Linked DNA regions of Nothobranchius furzeri. The protein of the gene in region 1 interacts with the protein of each later gene in a pairwise test. Links are inferred from orthologs where the notes say so. Each region holds a gene or a part of one and is shown in the gene's direction. Other genes may lie near its edges. The genes, in order: rho guanine nucleotide exchange factor 2 and rpp25l.

What was found.
Region 2: the proteins of rho guanine nucleotide exchange factor 2 (region 1) and rpp25l interact in binary tests that used the Homo sapiens proteins (3 or more experiments, as listed by UniProt). The two-hybrid records come from large-scale screens. The link is inferred for Nothobranchius furzeri from reciprocal best matches to the Homo sapiens genes ARHGEF2 and RPP25L.

What each region holds. Positions count from the first base shown.
Region 1 is NC_091745.1:66,292,083-66,295,899, forward strand, and holds part of rho guanine nucleotide exchange factor 2, read left to right. Parts: intron 1-511; coding exon 512-655; intron 656-767; coding exon 768-1,018; intron 1,019-1,274; coding exon 1,275-1,400; intron 1,401-1,630; coding exon 1,631-1,748; intron 1,749-2,206; coding exon 2,207-2,455; intron 2,456-2,564; coding exon 2,565-2,641; intron 2,642-2,844; coding exon 2,845-3,020; intron 3,021-3,175; coding exon 3,176-3,243; intron 3,244-3,817. UniProt on the Homo sapiens protein: Activates Rho-GTPases by promoting the exchange of GDP for GTP.
Region 2 is NC_091745.1:59,630,687-59,635,295, reverse strand, and holds the start of rpp25l (ribonuclease P protein subunit p25-like protein), read left to right. Parts: upstream 1-1,686; 5' UTR 1,687-1,789; intron 1,790-1,806; exon of another isoform or gene 1,807-1,830; intron 1,831-4,609. UniProt on the Homo sapiens protein: May be a component of ribonuclease P or MRP.

The sequences.
Region 1 (3,817 bases):
TCAGCTGATGTTCCTATGATTTGGTTTATTGACCGTTTCCATAGAAAAACATGTTTCTGGTTAAGTGACAGAAAGTCACACAAAGCATTATGGGTTGTGGGAATTAGGTTGGGGTGTTACAGAGGAGGTGGAGTCTGAGGAGCTAAAATTCAGTAGAAAGTGATTCCATTCCTACTGATGATGGATCCTTGGGGTGAAGCGTGTAGAAGATAAAGAGTCAGCCCGAGGACTGACCCCCAGAGGAACCCCACAGGCGATATAGTGAGGCCTTGATTTGATGTAATTTTCTCCTGGCGACTGTTTGTTTGGATGTCTTTGTTTTTGACACATTTGCCTGGAATTAGTCATTGGATGATCAAGAATACCTGACTGGAGAAGGTCAGTAGGTGAGACTTTCAGCCAGGTTTCCAGCTCACAAAGGGCTCAGATTCCAAAAATAAATCCTGAAGATGGGACTTTTCAGAAGGTGGAGCAACCTGTTTAATCTGTATTTGTGTTGACGTGCAATCAGGAGAGTGGTGGACGAGCCCCCTGCTGGAAGAACTGCGTACAGAGGGAATCTGCGTCCAGGCCGACAGCTGGAGTCTGGCTGTGGAACCCAGCTTCCTGCAGACGCTGCACAAAGACGTCATCAAACAGCAGGACGTCATCTACGGTGAGAGGAAATAGAAAGGAATATCTGTAATATGGGCCAGTTGGTAGAGTGGTCAGGTGCTGATCAGATTCCATTTAGCCTTTACAACAACTCGTTTCTACTTGTTTCTCAGAGTTGATCCAGACTGAGTTCCATCATGTCCGGACGTTGCGGATCATGGAAGGGGTGTACCGGCGAGGGATGCTGGAGGAGGTGATGCTGGAGGCAGGTGTGGTTCACACCATCTTCCCTTGCCTGGAACAGCTGGTGGAGCTTCACTCCAACTTCCTGTCTGAACTGATGAACAGGCGGAAGGACGGACTGATGGAGGGCAGCTTCACTAACTTCACCATCCGCAGGCTTGGAGACCTGCTGCTCCGACAGGTACGCCGGCACATGTGACAGCTGGTCTAAGAGATGCAGGTGTTTAAATAAAGGGAATGTCGTTATCAGCTGAACGAAACAAAGAGTTGAGTTGAGCTAATGGGAGATGGCTCCCCCTGCTGGACGCTCTCATTCTGGTCATCGTACTGGTCACATCTGCAACATCTGCCCCTGAAAGACAAATGAATGTTGAGTAAATCTGTTGTACGGTGGCAGATAGAACATCCTAATGTCTTACATTTTTATGTTTTTGTAGTTTTCAGGTCAAAGTGCAGACGACATGAAGAAACTTTACTCAGAGTTCTGCAGTCGACACCCGAAAGCTGTGAAGCTCTACAAAGAAGTTTTAACTCGAGACCGAAGACTGCAACAGTTCATTCGGGTGAGCTGGTTTGATTTATATTCATATGAGTGAGGCACTGGGGTAGGGTTGATGGAGGTTGTTTGGTCCTTTCTGCTCCACATCAGGTTCATCACTGGTCAGAATAACGGAAGTCCATCCTCTTTGGTCTTATTTTTCTCCTTAATTAGTTTCAACTGGTTTGAATTGTTTCAGAATTGATCTGAAGTCATTCTATTTTAATGTTTTGTTGCGTGTTCTATGATTCTCAGCGTGTGTGTCGTGGTCCTCTGCTTCGTCGACATGGCGTCCAAGAGTGCATCCTTCTGGTGACACAACGGATCACAAAGTATCCCGTTCTCATCCAGAGAATCCTCGACAACACCAAAGGTAACCTCATACTGCTTACCGTTATCCTAGAATCAGAAGATGATTCATCTCAAACTGTCTAGGTGGGAAAGTTCTTTCTTCCTACATCCTTGAGGATGTTGCTCGTCCCTATTGTAACCTACGTATATCCTACCTCACGGGCATCCAGGCCCTAATCAGCTACATAGGCCCTCCCACATCCTCCCAACAGCAGCAGCACACTAGCAGAGTAGCTGAACAGCTCCTTTGTCCACACACACACACACACACACACACACACACACACACACACACACACACACACACACACACACACACACACACACACACACACACACACACACACACACACACACACACACACACACACACACATGAACAGACTGCATACATTTCACGCCCCTTTTTACACCATGTTTTTACATGATGATTGAATGATAACCTCATGTACGTCTACGATCTTTTCGATTCTCCTGCAGGATGCGAAGAAGAGGCACAAGCACTGAAGAAGGCCTTGCACCTCCTTAAGGAGCTGATCAGCTCAGTGGACCAGGAGGTTCTGGAGTTAGACCGCACCAGAAGGCTGCAGGAGATCCAAGCTCGTTTGGATCCTCGAGCCCAGGCTGAAGTCCAGAGAGGAGGAGTGTTCAGAGGAGGGGAACTGCTAAGGAGGAAGCTTCTTCATGATGGGACAATCCTCTGGAAAGTCCAGGGTTCTAGAATGAAAGGTAAAGGAGTAGGAGGACCATAAACCAGGGCTTAGCTCTTTTATGTTGTTATGTAACACGTGTGGGAGGAGCTTTTCCCTGTTGATTGTCTTTATATGTTTATCTCCAGATGTGCAGGTGTTACTGATGTCAGACATCTTGGTTTTTCTCCAGGAGAAAGACCAAAAATTCACCTTTGCATCACTGGTGAGTCATAAAACATCCCACCTGGTCACCTTATCTAGGACTAACCTGGTCCAACTATCCAAATCTATCCTACATGAACAGCTGATCATTCCTTGTGACCTCCTTGTCTCACAACCCAGGATGAGATAAGCAAGATCACGAGGATCTATGGGACAGTTTCACCTCTCTACTCACCGGTCTGTCTGCTCCCTTATGTCTTTCAGGACAAATCTCCAATAGTCCCCTTAAATAACCTGATTGTCCGAGAAGTAGCCAATCAGGAGCGAGGGATGTACCTGATCAGTAGTGACTCTAGTCCTCCAGAGATGTATGAGCTGTACGCTTCATCCAAAGACGACCGCAAGACCTGGATGAGCCGCATTCAGCAGGCTGCTCTCAGGTCAGAACATTACTGGAACTTTGCAGTACTAACTGAAACTTTATTCCTCAAAGGAAGGACCTTAAGGTACTCACAGGAAGACTACAGTACCAGTAGAAACTTTCCAGTACTTTAGTGTATTCACAGTAACAGAGTTTCTTGTGTTTTACTTGCAGCTGTCCGTCCAGAGATGAGTTTCCGCTCATCGAAACGGAAGACAAAGCTTTGCTGAGACGACTCCGAGGTGTGTGTGTGTGTGCGCGCGCGCAGTTTTAAAGTGAAATATTTACTGTTTAGGGTTTTTTAGACTCTGTACTTTCCTGCTTCCACTCCTCCTCCAGGGTGAGAAAAAGTTTTAATCTGCAGTTTGAGGTTTGTTTCATGGAGCGATGGCATCCGTCCTTCAGGAACATGTTGTCCATGCCGTAGAAGACCAGGTAGGCCAGGAATGGCTGGACAAAGGAGGCCCTTTCAAGCTAGAAGGAGGTGACAGGGAGCAGCAGCAGCAGCAGCAGGAGGACGGAGGTGACATGGAGCAGCAGAAGGAAAGACAAAGAGGAGAAAGTGGCCAGCAGGGGGAAACAGGAGGTGACAGGGAGCCGCAGGAGAAAGGAGGTGACAGTAAGCAAAAGGGGTAAGGATGAGGTGACAGGGAGAAGGAGGAGGAAGGAGGAGGGGGTGACGGAGCAGCATGAGGAAGAGGTGATAGGGAGCAGGAGAATGAAGGAAGATGAGGTAATGGGGAACAGTAGGAGAAAAGAGGAGGTGACATGGAGCAGCAGAAGGAAAGACAAAGAAGAGAAAGTGGGCAGCAGGAG
Region 2 (4,609 bases), about 6.7 Mb from region 1:
ACAAGGGAGCTGAGAAGCAGGATGAAAGAGAGAAGGAGGAGTTGGTTGGAGAGGAACCAGAGAGGTCAGAGGCTGTCCACCCTGAGAGTGAGGAGGAGGAAGATGTAGGCTGTGAGGGAGAGAGTGAGGAGCAAAAAGAGGGACATCTTCTGTCATGTGCACTGTGTGCACTACCGTCAGGTTTGTGGGTGTTAAACAAACCCCTCTGTGTTTGCAGCTCATATTGTGTGTAAAATGCATTTGAGGCATGCTGACTCTGGACCAAAATTTCTGTTGTTTATATTTAATAAATAGATAAAATAAGACTCAGAGTTAACTAATTATGACTTTTATCCTCATGCTAACATTTATTTTCTTTCAGATATCAGCAAGTGCAAGGATGACCCACCTACTCAGCCTCATTTGAGAACATTTCCAGTGACATTAATAGGAGACAGAAGATGCAGCTTTCAGCCAAGCTGGTATGAAAGTCATCCAATTGGGTTGAATATTCTGTTACTATGGACTCTACTTATTGTCATGCATGCAGACATTTTAGCCCACCAAGTAGCGCAGGAAGTGTGTTTGACTCACCATGTGGATTTAGGAACTGGAAAAAAGCAACTGAGAGAGGAGGGGGGTTTTCAGTACACGCAAAGTCTGAAAGGCATAAGGATTCAATGATAGCGTGGAGGGACTACCAGAGGGCTGTGAAAGCTAATACAACATTGGCTAATATACTCGACAAGGAACTCAGTAAAAAGGTTAAAGAAAATCGTGAGTTTATCAAAACAATTGGTGAAGTGATTTTGCTTATGTGTGTGTGTGTGTGTGTGTGTGTGTGTGTGTGTGTGTGTGTGTGTGTGTGTGTGTGTGTGTGTGTGTGTGTGTGTGTGTGTGTGTGTGTTGACTACAAAAAGCAGATTGTATTGTGCAGATATTTTATTTGTTTGAATGTTTATTTTTCATATGTACAGTTCATATAATCTTCAAATAAAGTCACAAACTATAATAATTGACTAGAATTGTTTTTTACTCAAGTCTCATGTTGCGGTGAAGCATTCAGAATTGTTATCTGAGTACCATAAAAACATGCCAGTTTTACTTTCACAAGTAAGCCATTACTGCATTCGCCGTAATAGTTTACTTGTTCATTGTCTTTTAATATGATTTTTTTTCTTGTGCCCCCATGAAAAAATACTGGCCCCACAGTGGCCCCCCTGGAAAATTTGGTCTAGAACCGCCCCTGGTTTGGTGATGTGCAGGAACAGGTGGAAATTTTTGTCTCAATGGAACTTCAAAATAGAATAATTTTCAAAATAAAAATGAATTTGCATACATTCTTTACCAATTGATTTTTGCTTTTTGGATCGATGGCCATGATGGATGTGTCAAAGTAGATCAATGTATTGTTACATTGTGAGTACATTTTGAGGCATGCTGAAATTTACTGAAATGTCCCTGGAGCTTCCGTTTGTCACCTGACGTGTTAAGAGAGAAACAACAGCTGTGTTCAGTTTGCTTTGAAACATCACAATAAAAACTCTTAATTAATTATGAGTTCTGCAGTCTTATTTGCTTAGACAGTGTAACAAAATAGTCCTTGCTGTGATGGAGCATCTGGGCTTGTTTTCCATGGTTTTCATAGGAATTTTATTGTTTTTCTGAAACGTATGATTCGCGGTACTTTAAAAAACTACAAGTGTCTCGTGAGTTTACGACAGTTTTTGTGGTTTTACGGTAACGTAACCTGTTGTGGTAAACATGCGGACTCGGAGCAGTGTTCAGTAGTAAAAGGAAAGAAGTAAAGGTAAGAAGATAGTGTTTTCATGCTGCAGCGGACCACCTAAGGTTTTTATCTTGTGTTACCCCTTATGACCTGCGTTTGTCTTATTTATGACCATTTTAAAAACACTTGTTTACTGAACGGTTAGCTTTAGGTGAGTCCGGGTGAAGCAGCTTCCTGCGGTGAGGTTTATTATCATCTGAGGTGTTTTCAGGTCAGAGTTTGAACAGCCTTGTTGGCACATGTGGTTAGTTGGAGTGGTTGTTGTTTGAAGTTAGCTGTCTAGCTAGTGTGCTAAAGGCTAACACCGCATTGAACGCGAAGTTAAATTATATTGTGTATCATTTCTGCGTGTGATGATGTCATAAGCATGCCGAACACTTAAAAAGACGCAGAATTGTATTTTAAACCTTCGTTTAAAACCAAGTTCAGCGACGTCATCACATCTGGGTAAAAATGCTATTTTTGTGTGGAGTTTGGTTTGCGCTCAGAACTGAATTTTATATCTGTTTAAAAACTCAAAAGGTTGGAAATGTGTTTAATCATGACTAGGGTTGCCAACTCCCTGAAAAATAAATAAGGGACACCTCGCGGGCAGGGCGCTCCAGGCCACCCTTCCCAGCGTGGTGATTTTTTTGCTCTTTTTTTGTGTGTGGGTGTGAAAGGATTTTTTTTTTTTACTATTTGACTTGAAGTTGGTTTAAGAAGATGCATATTCTTTGTGATATGAAAACATGGGAAACAAATGATCATTTAGCCATTTATTTATGGCGTGAAATTACAAAATTATTATAAGTAACAAAGGTATTTTTCTTAAACAGAAAACTGTTATGCTCAACTTTTTGTGCAAAATGACAAAAAAAAGTAGGTCTCTTTCTTAAACGGTAGCCTGTTATGCTTTACTTTTTAGAATATAAATAGCTCTCTTTAAAACAACTCTGTTCTGCTTAACTTAAAATTGTATAAATTAATAGAAAACAACAGAAAGAGCAACGCTGTAACTGCACATTGAGTGCAATTAGAAAAGTGCAAACAGAAAGTCTGTGGAGAAGCTGTAAACATATTTGTGCCTCAAAGGCCTTGACTGTAGCCTATGGTTGAAGTAAAAAAAAAAAAGTCCAAACTCATGAACTCAAAAACTCAATGCTACATTATGTGAAAACAGACTATTTTCGCCATTTGTATTTCTTTTGAGATCTTGCTGCATTTAGGAGTTGTTTGTCTTTCAGTACTGCAGAGTAAAACTCTGAGCAAGACATGTCACAATTTAGAGTGACAATGAGCTCACATCTAATTATTTCAGTAGAACATTTGTTCCGCACATCAGTCCACTTATTCTTCATGAGAGAGAAAATCCTCTCTGCCAATCCAGTGGAAGATGGGATGCTGAGTACAAACGATACAACAGGCTGGATGTTGGAGAGGTCAGCTGCCTGAAGAATTTCTATACACTTCTCTGCTGTTCCCTTGGACTGCCACTTTTCCTTCTCCTGAGGTCCTTTGGTGAGGTGCTCCAGAAGGCTGGCTGCAGTGACACACTCGTCATAAAGCTCATCCATAGAGATGTTTAACCTGCCAATGGAGATAAGAAGTAAACCTGGGTTATAAGCACCACATAGAACACTTACAGTGGTAAATAAATGGAAAACATTTATTGTATATTTATTGCATTGTATAGCTTTTATACAATACAATAGTTCACTTTATTTATTATGTATTTATCCATCCTTTTAGTTTAAAATTATCCAAACAACATATAAACCAAGACAAGGCTACATCGAAACTAAACACCCAAGTTAAAAAAAAAAAATAGAAAAACTAATGACAAAACAGAAACAGACAACAAAAATAATAAAAATAATGGTAAACAAGCCCCAACACAGTGGGTTTTTTTTTCTTCATATAAATACCTTCACTTTAACCAGAGGGTTTAAAAAAGCAATGTTTACTTACCATATCTGCTTCTGCCATGGCCTTGTGGACGACAAATGGATCGAGGGTTCCCCGTAATTTCACGTCCTTTATGTTTTTCATGTGGCTACTACTAGACGCATGTTGCTTGAGGTCAGTGAGTCCACCATGCCCTTTGGAAAAACTGCGCCGGTACACGGTGCAGTGCGCTTTATAGGTGTTCTCGCGCAGTTTTTCCAGCCAGGAATTTTCCTTTTCCCATTCCTCCCTGTATTTTTGAAGCCTTTTTTCTTCTTTCTCGGAGGGGTACTGTCGTCCGAGACTTGTACAGCAGTGTCGGCGTTAGTTTCCCGGTTGGCCGTGCTGTTTGCTGTCGTCTGTTTTCTTCCGGTATCTTCTCCCCAAGCGACCGTTCCTCGACCAATGAAATAAGCGGTAATCTTATCGTCATATTCGTGTGTAAGCATGCGGTCAGTTCATTAGTCACAGAGCAGGCGAAGGGCTGGCTTTCAAACAAAGCGTTAATTCCGGTAATAGACTACAGACTAATTTTGATCCATACTATATTACGGGACAAAGTGCGTCCCTTTTGAGTTCAATACGGGACGTGCACTTTTGTTTCTAAATACGGGACGATTCCGTTTTTCAAGGGACGGTTGGCAACCCTAATCATGACTGATCAGCTGCTTTAAATGGGAAAACTTCAGTTGTCCCTAACATCCTGACTTATTACAACATATTTGTTAAAATAAAACAATTTCTTTTTATTCTGTTCAGTAGCAATCCCTTTCCTTCACAGCACTGTACAAGTTGTAATTATAAGTCTCAAAATATGTTCCGTATTCAAGAAGTAATTGAATCAGCATGCTGACACTTCCTCTGTCAAAGAGAGGGGGGCCTAACAGATTAAAGATGGTGGCAGTCACGCAGGGC